Linked DNA regions of Saccharomyces cerevisiae S288C. Changing the gene in region 2 together with the main gene of any one other region gives a genetic interaction. Each region holds a gene or a part of one and is shown on either strand. Other genes may lie near its edges.

The links.
Region 1: mutations in BAT1 (region 2) and SPO20 together harm fitness more than expected from each alone (negative genetic interaction), as found in Saccharomyces cerevisiae (2 studies listed by BioGRID).
Region 3: mutations in BAT1 (region 2) and SAP155 together harm fitness more than expected from each alone (negative genetic interaction), as found in Saccharomyces cerevisiae (2 studies listed by BioGRID).

Annotation. Positions count from the first base shown.
Region 1 is NC_001145.3:305,498-309,182, reverse strand, and holds SPO20 (Spo20p), read right to left. Parts: upstream 1,695-3,685; coding exon 501-1,694; downstream 1-500. Other genes in the region: SOK2 (Sok2p), read left to right, coding at 3,590-3,685. UniProt on the Saccharomyces cerevisiae protein: Required to maintain the prospore membrane to the nucleus during sporulation in order to capture the daughter nuclei and form the spores.
Region 2 is NC_001140.6:515,676-519,242, reverse strand, and holds BAT1 (branched-chain-amino-acid transaminase BAT1), read right to left. Parts: upstream 1,712-3,567; coding exon 530-1,711; downstream 1-529. Other genes in the region: SET5 (S-adenosylmethionine-dependent methyltransferase), read left to right, coding at 2,758-3,567. UniProt on the Saccharomyces cerevisiae protein: Mitochondrial isozyme of branched-chain-amino-acid aminotransferase, involved in the biosynthesis of the branched chain amino acids (BCAAs) leucine, isoleucine, and valine.
Region 3 is NC_001138.5:232,226-237,750, forward strand, and holds SAP155 (Sap155p), read left to right. Parts: upstream 1-2,016; coding exon 2,017-5,025; downstream 5,026-5,525. Other genes in the region: OSW7 (Osw7p), read right to left, coding at 1-1,319; ERJ5 (Erj5p), read right to left, coding at 5,143-5,525. UniProt on the Saccharomyces cerevisiae protein: Positive regulator of protein phosphatase SIT4. Involved in directing expression of TOR-repressed genes and in dephosphorylation of NPR1 in response to nutrient starvation. Negatively modulates K(+) efflux of the cell by the Na(+)-K(+)/H(+) antiporter NHA1.

The DNA of each region.
Region 1 (3,685 bases), on a different chromosome or scaffold from region 2:
TGATTACCGGAAACCCTTCATAATGTTTTCCTTTTTCCCAACAAGATTGAACTTTGATATCGTTTTGTAACTAAAATCTTTTTTGACAAATGAAATTATATGAATTATAACTTATCAACTTTATGAGAAGCAAGTAGACTTGGTACTGTAAAAAATATAGTCCCACGACAGCGGTATCTATCTTTCTTACCCTCTTTTACTTTTCACAAAATCATGTTGATTTTTCAGTTAACCCAGTTTAAGATCATGAATGGAACGGGAAACAAATACGTAACAACTGGGAAAAACAAACCTGCCGATGTTTGAATGCACTTTATTTATGGGAAAGAGAAAGCTTTGTCTGACAACTCCGAAAGAAAATACAAAGAAGAATTGAGACCTTCAGTACTAATGTCCCCCTCGCTCTTTTTTTTTTCTCTTTCGCAAGAATATCTGCGTATGCCTTTTTAGAAACTATTTATTCAATATATTTATACACGATATTTTGTGTGTATAACAGATCACCATCTTTTCCCGATCACTTTCTCCAATCTATATCGCTTGGCCTGTAAAGCATTATCTGCCTGCTGTACATTGTTCTCGATGTCAAACATTCTAGTGTTTTGTGCTTCAAACTCTCTGCCAAAAGCGTGAGCCATAATTTTCAAGTCACCACTCACCGCTTTTATTTGTTCTAGGTTTCCGTACAAGTCGATTTCCATTTGGTTATCTTCTTCATCGGCTTCAAACTGATACTTCTGGGCATCTCTAAGAATACGCTGTCTTTCCACCCCTTGGCCATACCGTCCATATTCAGAACTTAGATTTATGGCTAAATTTTTGTCAGAATCTTGGGCTCTTTTCATAGTTTCTTGCTGTAAGTGACGATGCTTTAACTTCAAATTGTAGATCTGGTCTCGCTTTTCTCTCTCCCTTTTCTTCCTGAAGGGGTTGGGTGATTTTAATGCAAGCAGGCTTCTATTTTCATGGGCAAGTTCGTCAATCTTTCGGTCGGCTACGTTAGATTGAATTTTAAGCATGTCACAATTGCTCTCGATCTTGGTGAGTTGGTTGCTCTGACAACTTAGTTGTTGAAGAACTCTCTTTCCAGTACATCGAGCCTCTATAGCTTTTTCAAGTGTTCTGCTTGTCGTTTTTACAGATTTTAATTTAGTGCTTCTAATCTCGGACCTGAGTCTATCAACTATTTCATCCTCCTCAGGCTGGACATTCTCTAAGTTATATTGACTTTCAACTTTTCTCCACTGTGGATAGTCATTCTCATTTGCAAAATTTCCCAAATCTCTGTGAATAACGCTATCTGTTTCTCCCAAGTTTTCTTCAGGTATTTGGCACCTGTTGGACTTTGGAAAAACCTCTTCTAACGAAATAGTAGCAAGGCCATCCCTTTCGGGCACCTCATAAGAGACGCATTTATCATCACTAGTCTTAGTGGCGTCATCGAACCGACAGTTTGGGTGAAGTTGTTTGTGGATTTTATTCCTCAAGGATTTAAGCTTCACATGTAGCCTATCACGTCTTCTGCTTCCTGAACAATTGTCCATCCTGAAGGGTGATAAATATTTTGTTTCATGGGATCCTGTAATATTGGAAATAAGTACATAGCGATGATTTTGCAACTTCAGGTTCTTATGGTGCTGATTATGGTGGCGACTGTGATGCGATTTGCTAGCAAGTATTTTTCTGAACCCCATTATATATCTAAAAATGGCTATTCACAAACGGAAAAATCTAAAGTAATAAAAAAATAATAGTGTTAACAGAGAAGGTTTATCAGTAGCTAAAGCGAGCAAATTACTGGTTAACTTATCGTATTTTCCGTACTGTGGTGAATCTTATGCAAAATGAACCTGGCTTTGGCGGGAGTTTTTTTTTATGTGACACAATGGCCTTTTGCCGGTGGTAAATACGCGCTTCAAAAAGGTTGTTACACAGCGGCACATTAGCATGACACAATCTTGATCCTTTACAATTACTACACCGCCAAGTATAAAGCTTTTCCCAACCAACGTGTTTGCCAAGTAATTTTGTGTAGAGTGCGGCTGACTAACAGCCTTAACCGGGTACTCTGTTCCCTGCATTTGCATAAAAACTACAAAGAAAAGAAAGAAGGAAATACTCCGAACCAAAGAGATACAACAAGAATACTTCTCTCATTACATCGGCACCTTCCTGGGGATTAATTCCTTACAAGCGCTGAAAAAATGAAGAGATGATTCCGTACTTCAACAATGGCTTTTAACCTTATTACCCCAAGAGAGTGTCTACAGAATTAAGGCCCATTTAATTTTTACCTTCCTGTTCCTGCATAACAGACACCCCTTACCCGCATCAACAGGAGGGGAGGAAACATTGCCAATATGTCTGCGAATTGTGACAACCAATCCGCATGCACGGTGGGGGGCGGTTGAAAGCGCCTAGACTTCCCTTTTTTGGATTGCTACGTCACCTTCGCAGCGTGCACCAGGTGCATTCACCACACGAAAAGATGCGAAAGCACACCAAGCGCGAAATTCCGGTTTTTGGCTTGTTTGTTTCGGGCTCCGCCTCATCGTCTTAGCAAATCTAGACCTTGTTGAAAAATCGTGCAGGGACTCCGTACCTGCACAAGCAACGCGGCATAATACATGTAGGGATACAGCAAAGATATTGTTTCTGAATGGGCAAAACATTGCTTTCCGCAAACGGCTTTTTCTTCTCTTTCCCACCACCGTGGGTCACCTTTTTCTTGCGCCTCTTATGCCAACACACTCTTCCCGTGATGCGAATGGTAAAGAAGTTAACAAAAAACACAAAAAATTCATATTCCGATTTCTCTGCAAAGAAGCCTGAGCGGGAACTGCATGTCCGCTTGACTTGTCTTCCCTCCGGTTAGCTGTGCCTGCAGGGAAACCGCAGTAGAAGGACTGCGGAAGGATCTTTTCCCGCCGTTGATGTAATCTTTAAAGTTAATTTTTCCCTCACACAGTTTGCATTTTTCCCGCATGTTGTCCGGTTTTTCTTTCTTTTGTTGCTTTTTCTTCCGTGGGCCTGACGGAACATTCCAAGTTGAGTGCGATCTGACTAAGGAACTAGTAGAGGCTACCGCTCAGTAAGTTTAACAGTCGGCTAAGCATCGATCATCTCATTCTTTGCCTTCACTCAGTTCTTCGCAATAGTACAGTGCTGCGCAATAGACGCACGTATCAGTGATGTATTCTTTCTCTTGTCTTCACATAAAAAGTACGTAGATGTGTTGCCCGTTTGTGTTTTATTAACTTATCGAATGTGGCAAGCCGACGATACAAAAGAAAAAAGTTCATCTTTAACACTTCTTTTTGTTAGTTTTTGAAGTTTTTCCCCACTATCTTTTGCATTAGTTGTGTGTGCCTGTGCGTGTGTAAGCCTTCTAGTATAGTTGATAATCCTTTTCCATAGCTTTTTATATTGCAAGCAGAGAGATATCATTTTGTGCTGTTTTCATTAAACATACTTCACAATTGTATAAAAAAAAAAAACCTTTTTGATCTTTGTTTTCAGAAATTGAAAGTGGATTTGTTAAGCACAGTACAAAATCATCCTTATATAACCCTGGTAAGGTCCTTTTGTCATGCCCATCGGTAACCCAATCAATACGAATGATATCAAGTCCAACCGCATGCGCCAGGAATCAAATATGAGTGCCGTGAGCAATAGCGAAAGTACT
Region 2 (3,567 bases):
CATATACTAATGAACTGTTTAAATCAGGATTATGGACCGGTGAGGGAACATAATCATCTCTTCATGCCTGAACCTGTATGCCACGATGATGGAAGGCATACCATTATTCATACTGTACTTGCACCTCTTCTGAACTACGCTAGAATTTATTCTTCAGAAAATACCAGGGATATCCTTATAGATTTTTTTTTTTTGGCATAATCAACTCTCTTGGGTATCTTGCCGCATTCATTTTACATGTAAAGTCCAGCGAGATACCTTGGCAACTAAATTACAAGCAGTCTCTATGAAATTCAATAATGTGCCAAGTTGTTAGGTCAACAATTTCAAAAAGCGTAAGAAGCCGCACAATGGCTTGCATAAGCTATAATAATAATAGTAATCCAATATTTCTTATAATAAATAAACTCAACAGGAATTGTAAAAAAGTATGTATCTATGTGAATAAAGTGAGAGAAAAACAGATCCTCTGAGAGGAATTCTCGTTTTTTTTTTTTGGGGGGGGAGGGGATGTTTACCTTCATTATCATTAGTTCAAGTCGGCAACAGTTTTTGACCAGTTACCATAATTGACTCTACCGTATTGGATATCAGCAATCCATTGAGCAACTTGCTTGGTCAATGCACCACATTGTTCACCAGGCAATAGTGGAACATGAATATCTTCGTTGTTCCAGCCAATTTCCTTGATAGGTGAAACGACAGCAGCAGTACCAGAACCGAAGGCTTCTAATAGTTCACCTTGTTTTGCTCTAGTGGCGACTTCAGTAATAGTGTAATAACGCTCGTTGATGTCCCATTCTTGAGGATCTAGTTTGTCACGAGCCAATGTTAAAACAGAGTCTCTGGTAACACCTTCTAAAATGGTACCATCTAATGGAGCGGTAACCAATTCCTTCTTGCCAGTGACTTTGTTGAGGAAAACGAAGAACACGTTCATAGTACCAACCTCAGTGATGTTCTTTTCTGGGCCGAACAACCATAGATTTTGTTGGTACCCTCTTTTGGCAGCTTGTAGTTGAGGTAAGATGCATGGGGCATAGTTAGCACCCAATTTTTTGTCGCCAACACCACCTGGCCAAGCTCTTGTAGCATAGTCTGTTGCTTCAAGACGTACGGCTTTGAAACCAGTCTTATAATAAGGACCGACTGGAGAAGTAATAACATAAAGAAGAGCCTCGGAGGGAGTGCCAACACCTAAACCCTTGGATGTACCAATCATTGTTGGTCTGATGTATAATGAGTAACCATTACCTTGAGGAACCAAGTGTTTATCTTGTTCGATCAATTTCCCGGTAAGTTTGATCAATTCTTCAGATTCGAAAGTTGGCAAACAAATTCTAGCGGCAGACTTGTTCATACGGGCCATGTTCTTATCCGGACGGAACATGGTGATAGTATTTTGAGGAGTTCTGTAGGCTTTCAAACCTTCAAATAATTCAAATGCATAATGGAATACACAAGCAGATGGGTCAAGAGAAAGATTACCGTAAGGCTTGATGTGTGGAGTGCCCCACCCTTCTTTGGCTGACCAAGGAATGGTCAACATATGATCGGTGAATGTCTGGCCGAACACTAATTCTTCATTTGGTCTTGGCTTGGATGGATTTGGGTTTCTAGTAATTTTTAGTTTGGATGCATCTAATGGGGCACCAGTAGCGAGTGTTCTGATGGAGAATTTCCCCAACTTCAAGGAATGTCTCTGCAACATGTTTTAGTATGCTAAGGTTCTAGCTGATTTTGCGTTTATAGGGTGATTTATTCTAACGAAAACATGTAGTTGTTACCACTAGCTCTCTTTATAGTGCCATTTTTTTCAGATGCTTTTTTTTTTTCAAAGCTTAAAGGCCGGTACCGGCAAACACAATAGAATTTTGAGTCATAAGAAGGCAATATGGATCGGATGGGCCATTAAACAAAAAGAGAGCCAATTCATCAGTAATAATAGCGACAGCCGGTATGAAATCTGCACAAAGTATCAACCGCCTGGCCTCTATCAGTAAGATCATTCAATCAACCGTACACGCGGTACTTATCCAGCGTTAACATTTACGCTTTACAGTTCAGCTAAAAAAGAACACATTATCTAGTTAATGCCTGGGAAGGCCCTGGCAAGATACACTTTATCTAAATTATCTACTGCTCGCAAGGCAATGCTATCAATTTGAGAAGTGCAGAAGGAAATGCCATCAAGCTTGTGGTGCGCATTTCACTTTTAAGGATAATAACAGAATTTAATGGCTTGATATGGACGGGCGGTTTGCGAGCCTTACTATTGATAGGAGTATTCGTCAAGTCCAGGGCGCCAATGTGACTTATCGCGCTGTGGGTGGGTAATTCTACCTCAGTTTGCTTCTCGAGGAGTTTGTAGCATAAATCTCGTTAGAATAGTCAAACATACGGTATCTTTCTTTCTCTTGAAAAATTAGTACAGTCTACAAGTTTTCCTCATTGGCTTTCAGACGAGCATTTGATTGTCAAGTACTTTCCGGACCACCTGCGATAGTTTCCCTTGTCTACTTGAGCAGATATGCTCTTACTGACTAGCAAGAATGATAACAAATTTTATCAGTAAACCCTTTCCTTGCCGTAATTTTTTTTATTTTAGCTTCGTAATTTTTTTTTTCGTATTATTTTTCTTTTTCTTTTTCTTTCTTGATATCATAATCATGGGGAACTTCTCCATATAACAATAGAAGCTAAATAGGTAAATAACCAAGCGTGCACTGATACAAAATAACGAAAAGTGGCACAAAAATGACATTGACTATCAAAATAGGAACCTTAAACGATAGCGATCAATCTGCAGTGCATAATGGTACAGAAAATGGCTCTGATTTTCGAAAGATAACTCCCACAGAGGAAGAGATCTGTGATGACGTAGTTTTGTTATGGAAGGAAGAGCCCGGAACTGAAGACGCTACGATTCAGCATCTTTATGACAGGATTACGGAAAGAAATCAATCGTGGAAATTGAGTGCTTCTCGTTTTCGAAAAATTCTAAATGAGCACCATCTTTATGACACAGATCTAGAGACCGTTTCTCTATATAAAGATAAAATACATTTTCCAAAAGCCCTAGATTCTGATGCTAAGGTCGAAGTGAAATTTATTGATGACGAACATGGAAGGGGCCTTTTCGCTAAAAGAGATTTTTCCAAGGGCCAAATCATCCTGAAAGAAAATAAACCTATCGTATATATTCCACCACTGGACAAGCTTTTTTTAATATCTAATGGAAAGGCATGTGCTCGATGTGGTAAGGCGCTATATGATTTGACCCAGCACAAAATTATGGTCCATTATTTGGATTGTGAAGTTTGCAAAGCTATTTGGTGCAGTGAAAAATGTAAAAAAGCACATGCGTCGTTACATGAGCTTTTATACCACTCATGGAGATCGAATAGAATAGACATTCTTCATGCTGGTAATTGGAAAAGATTTGTTAACTACTGTGAGAAATATTGTTTTACCGCTGCCTTTTCAGTTGGTCTTATATATGGATCCATGCTTTTGGATACTACAGGAGAGGTCAAAGAGCAATGGCAAAAATTGGCAAGCATCTCA
Region 3 (5,525 bases), on a different chromosome or scaffold from region 2:
TTTTTCAATTCCATGAAACGGAGCCAGTTGGAATGATTCTCTTCTATATAGGCAGGATCGTATTGATCTTCCAAATGGAGACCTCTGACGTCCATATATGCCATTCTTTGCGACCATTGACTTATCATTACATCGCCCCACTCTTCGTACACTTCGACGTTTTCAAGACGAATCGATTCTGCCAGTTTAGCCATTTCGGTAAGAAAAGAATCTAATGAATGAAACAGTGATTTTTCAAAGTCTAACAAATGTATTTTATAATTCTTCAGTATCGATGTGATAGATGATTTGGTAATGTAAGCTTCCAGTTCAACTTGACCCGATTCATCAAAATACTTTATTTTATTTTGCACAGGATCGAATTTAGAGGTACAATTAATATCTTTGATTTTTGAATCTAGAAACACTAATTGCTCATTAACGGTAGTGTTAAGGTCATCAAGATTCCTAGTGATTTCTATAGATTTATTTTGCACCTCGGCCTCGAACACAGACTGTATCTCTGAATCCAAAAGTGCCATCGCACTGTGTATTTTCGAATCTATAGCCTTAATCCATGCTTCATATTCCATTTTTAATGATTCTGCCTCGTAAGTTTCCAATTCTGCATGGCTATTGGAACCAATGATAATCTTTGACAAATCCTGCAAAATAGCAGCAGTGACGAGTTGTGAGTTCCCGTGGCCATCCTGTACTCCATCGAACTCGTATTCTTTATTTTCATCCTCAATTCCGACATCATCCTCATCCTCATCTTCATCCTCATCCTCATTTTCATTCTCATCATCCTCATAATCCTCTGTTTCCGAGTCTGTCTCAAAAATGGGTTTGGTGAGCGTGCCATCAGCGCTAAAGGAGCCGTATTTCATCCAATCCGTAGAGGAGTTAAATGGATTCTCTAGTACATTCTTCACATTGTCTGTATATGGCTTTAAATAGTACCAGGCAATCCTTAGATGATTTAATAAAGGTCCCAACTTGGAATGTAGCGAACAGCAGAGCTCATTTAGCCTTAGAAAAGAGAAAATATTGTACCAAAAGCGGTAAAAATATCCCATAATTCTCTTCAAGGATGAGTTGGGGTATCTTTCAATCAGTGGTTTTATCGATTGTGAGTACTTTCCAACTAAATAGTCAGAAACCGCTGAACCTTCAACCAATTTAGAATCGAATAGTGAGCCAACTGAAAATTCAGTATGCCGGCAAATGGGCTGTAAATCTGTGGCAAAGCTTCCCAGACCATTTTGCTGACAGACCAGATACCTTGCAATAAACACGCAAGCCAGCAAAGCAGTCGTTACTTTGAAAACGGCCTTCATGATTTTTAGTAAAGAACTAACCACCTTTTTCTTAGTTAAGAAAAGGTCAATCAGTAACAGAAATATGATAGTAGCAACACCCAAAAAAATGCTATCTTCCAATAGTCAAAAAGGAAGCCTCGATGCCATACAAGTCTCTTCTAAAGTACTATTATGTAATTCCTGTTAAATGATACCTGTATTGTGGCTTAAAAGGGCCGAAATGACAACAAAATGAGTAGGGTTAATTTAATTTTTAAAGAGGGCATTTATCTAAAAAATGAAAGACAACTATAGGGCTGGTAATTATAGAATAGGTCTTAGTAGGGTTATCCCTTCCTCTAGAAAAAAAGAAAGAAAAATAATTTTAAGTGGCCAATTAGAACCAAAACCAACAGTATCGTGGTATCATACGCTCCAAAGCAACTAGAAGAAAGGCCTTATTTGACCATTGGATTCAGTATTTTTTCTCCAAGTAGCGGTTAAAAGACTGAGAGACTAAAGCTAGATAGTGGGTTTGAGTGACTATCCCCTTTTTTCCTCCTCTTTTTTTATTATTTTGATTTTATTTCATTTTGATTTTATTTCAACACGATTAAGACACAAGCGTTACTTCCCTAGACTATAGTCTCTGCCGTTCCCATTCTATTGATTTTTGGAGCAGCAGTTTTTACAAAAGAAAAGAAAAAAAAGACGAAAACAACAAGCCAGAGTAAAGATGTCGTTTTGGCCATTTGGACAGAATCTTAATCACTCTAATATTAATAAGATCCTAGATGAATATTTTCATGTGCTACACGAACTGGAAAGGATTAACCCAAGCGTTGGTAAAGCCATTCCCGCTATTTTCAACAACGTTCAGGAACGAGGTACAAGTGACTCCCTAGATTCTATTCCGGAGGAGTATAGTCATGGTGATGAAGTGAAAACGGCACGTGGAGATCAGAAGAGTCGATTTGAGAAGGATGATCAGCAAGAACGGTATGAGAAAGAGGAAGAGGAACGGAGCATGAACTCTAGCGAATCTTCCACTACATCTTTTTCTTCTGGGTCAACTTCTAAAACTGATTTAGATGAGGAGGATATCAGCAATGCTACTGCTCCCATGATGGTCACCACAAAGAATTTGGATAACTCTTTTATTGAAAGAATGCTTGTAGAGACAGAGCTACTGAACGAATTATCGAGACAAAACAAGACGCTACTTGACTTCATTTGCTTTGGATTTTTCTTTGATAAGAAAACTAATAAGAAAGTGAATAATATGGAATATCTGGTCGACCAACTGATGGAATGTATCTCGAAGATTAAAACCGCCACCACAGTGGATTTGAATAACCTGATAGATTATCAAGAACAGCAACAGCTTGATGATAGCTCACAAGAGGACGTTTATGTGGAATCTGATACGGAGCAAGAAGAGGAGAAAGAGGACGATAATAACAGCAATAACAAGAAGAGACGAAAACGCGGAAGCTCCTCGTTTGGTAACGATGATATCAACAACAATGACGACGACGACGATGCGAATGAGGACGATGAATCTGCTTATTTGACAAAGGCCACCATAATATCTGAAATCTTTTCCTTAGACATATGGTTGATTAGCGAGTCATTAGTTAAAAACCAATCATACTTAAACAAGATTTGGTCTATCATCAACCAGCCAAATTTCAATTCTGAAAACTCTCCCTTGGTACCCATATTCTTAAAGATTAACCAAAATCTGTTGTTAACCAGGCAGGATCAATATTTAAATTTTATTCGAACGGAGAGAAGCTTTGTTGATGATATGTTAAAGCATGTTGATATTTCCCTATTGATGGATTTTTTCTTGAAAATAATATCCACAGATAAGATTGAATCACCCACGGGAATAATTGAATTAGTATATGATCAAAACTTGATCAGCAAATGCTTAAGCTTTCTAAATAACAAAGAGTCCCCAGCTGACATCCAAGCATGCGTGGGTGATTTCTTAAAGGCTCTGATTGCCATTTCTGCTAATGCACCCTTGGATGATATTTCCATTGGTCCAAACTCCTTGACGAGACAGCTAGCATCTCCCGAATCCATTGCAAAGCTAGTCGATATCATGATCAACCAAAGAGGTGCCGCATTAAATACCACAGTTTCGATTGTCATTGAGCTGATAAGGAAAAACAATTCAGACTACGATCAAGTTAATCTTTTAACCACTACTATAAAGACTCATCCACCTTCAAATAGAGATCCAATATATTTAGGCTATCTACTTCGGAAATTTTCAAACCATTTGTCCGATTTTTTCCAAATCATTCTAGATATTGAAAATGACGCCAACATCCCATTACATGAAAATCAGTTGCACGAAAAATTTAAACCTTTAGGATTTGAAAGATTCAAAGTGGTGGAATTAATCGCCGAGTTACTGCATTGCTCTAATATGGGATTAATGAATTCCAAAAGGGCAGAAAGAATAGCCAGAAGAAGAGATAAAGTAAGGAGCCAGTTATCCCATCATTTACAAGATGCATTAAACGATCTGAGTATCGAAGAAAAGGAGCAACTTAAAACGAAGCACTCTCCAACACGTGACACTGATCACGACCTAAAAAATAACAACGGTAAAATAGATAACGACAATAATGATAATGATGATGAAAGTGACTATGGCGACGAAATAGACGAGAGCTTCGAAATTCCATACATCAATATGAAGCAAAACATAAAACTTAGGACCGACCCCACGGTCGGGGACCTATTCAAAATCAAACTATATGATACGCGAATTGTTTCCAAAATAATGGAACTATTCTTAACACATCCTTGGAACAATTTTTGGCATAATGTTATATTCGACATAATTCAGCAAATCTTCAATGGAAGAATGGATTTTTCCTATAATTCCTTCCTTGTTTTGTCTCTGTTTAACTTAAAGAGCTCCTATCAATTTATGACTGATATCGTCATATCAGATGAAAAAGGAACGGATGTTTCCCGATTTTCTCCCGTTATTAGAGACCCAAATTTTGATTTCAAAATAACTACAGACTTCATATTAAGGGGCTACCAGGATTCATATAAATTTTATGAGCTAAGGAAAATGAATTTGGGATATATGGGCCATATTGTCTTGATTGCCGAAGAAGTGGTCAAATTTTCTAAATTGTACAAAGTGGAACTAATATCTCCCGATATTCAAGTAATTTTACAAACCGAAGAATGGCAATACTACTCCGAAGAAGTCTTAAACGAAACAAGAATGATGTACTCTAAAATTCTTGGCGGTGGAAGTTATATTGATGATGGAAATGGTAACATCATTCCGCAGCTGCCTGACAATACTACTGTATTAACTCCAAATGGTGATGCAAGTAATAATAATGAAATCCTTGATTCAGATACCGGGAGTAGTAATGGAACAAGTGGTGGCGGCCAATTAATCAATGTTGAGTCTCTAGAAGAACAGTTGTCCTTATCTACAGAATCTGATTTACACAACAAGTTAAGGGAAATGTTAATCAATAGGGCTCAAGAAGACGTTGATAATAAGAACACGGAAAATGGGGTTTTCATACTGGGGCCGCCGGAGGACAAGAACAGTAATAGTAACATTAACAATACCAACCATAATAGTAATAATAGTAATAACAACGATAATAACGATAATAATGATAATGACAATGATAATACTCGTAATTATAATGAAGATGCTGATAATGATAATGATTATGATCATGAATGATACATTGTTTTGTACTTTTCTTTAATTTGTATATATATATATTAATTTATATGTATAAGTACCATGTAGTTTTCTATTCATTCATTCATTCATCATGATAATATTACTTCTTACGTATCATTTACGTGAATAGATCACTTTACCGTTAGGCAATTCCATTTTCTTTTGGCCTTTCTTTGCAGAACCCTTTTTTACTTTGTTCCCCTTTTTTGTTTGGTTACCATCATACTTTTTACTATCCGTTATTATTTCTTCTTTTCCTGCGCTACCAACAGATTTGCCAAACGTCATGTTCCAAACCGAAGCAGGTATTCTCCAAAACAAACAGTTCTTTACTGAAGGTTTATCCAAGGTATCTGGCGAAATTAGTGTTTCACTTCCATCAGGCTCTACAACATAGACATCGCTAAACCTTACAACCAAACTTTTACCCTCATCCTTTTCATGTTGTTTAAACGTTAGTTGTTTTACGCCTAGTCCATTGGTATCATCCTGTTGTT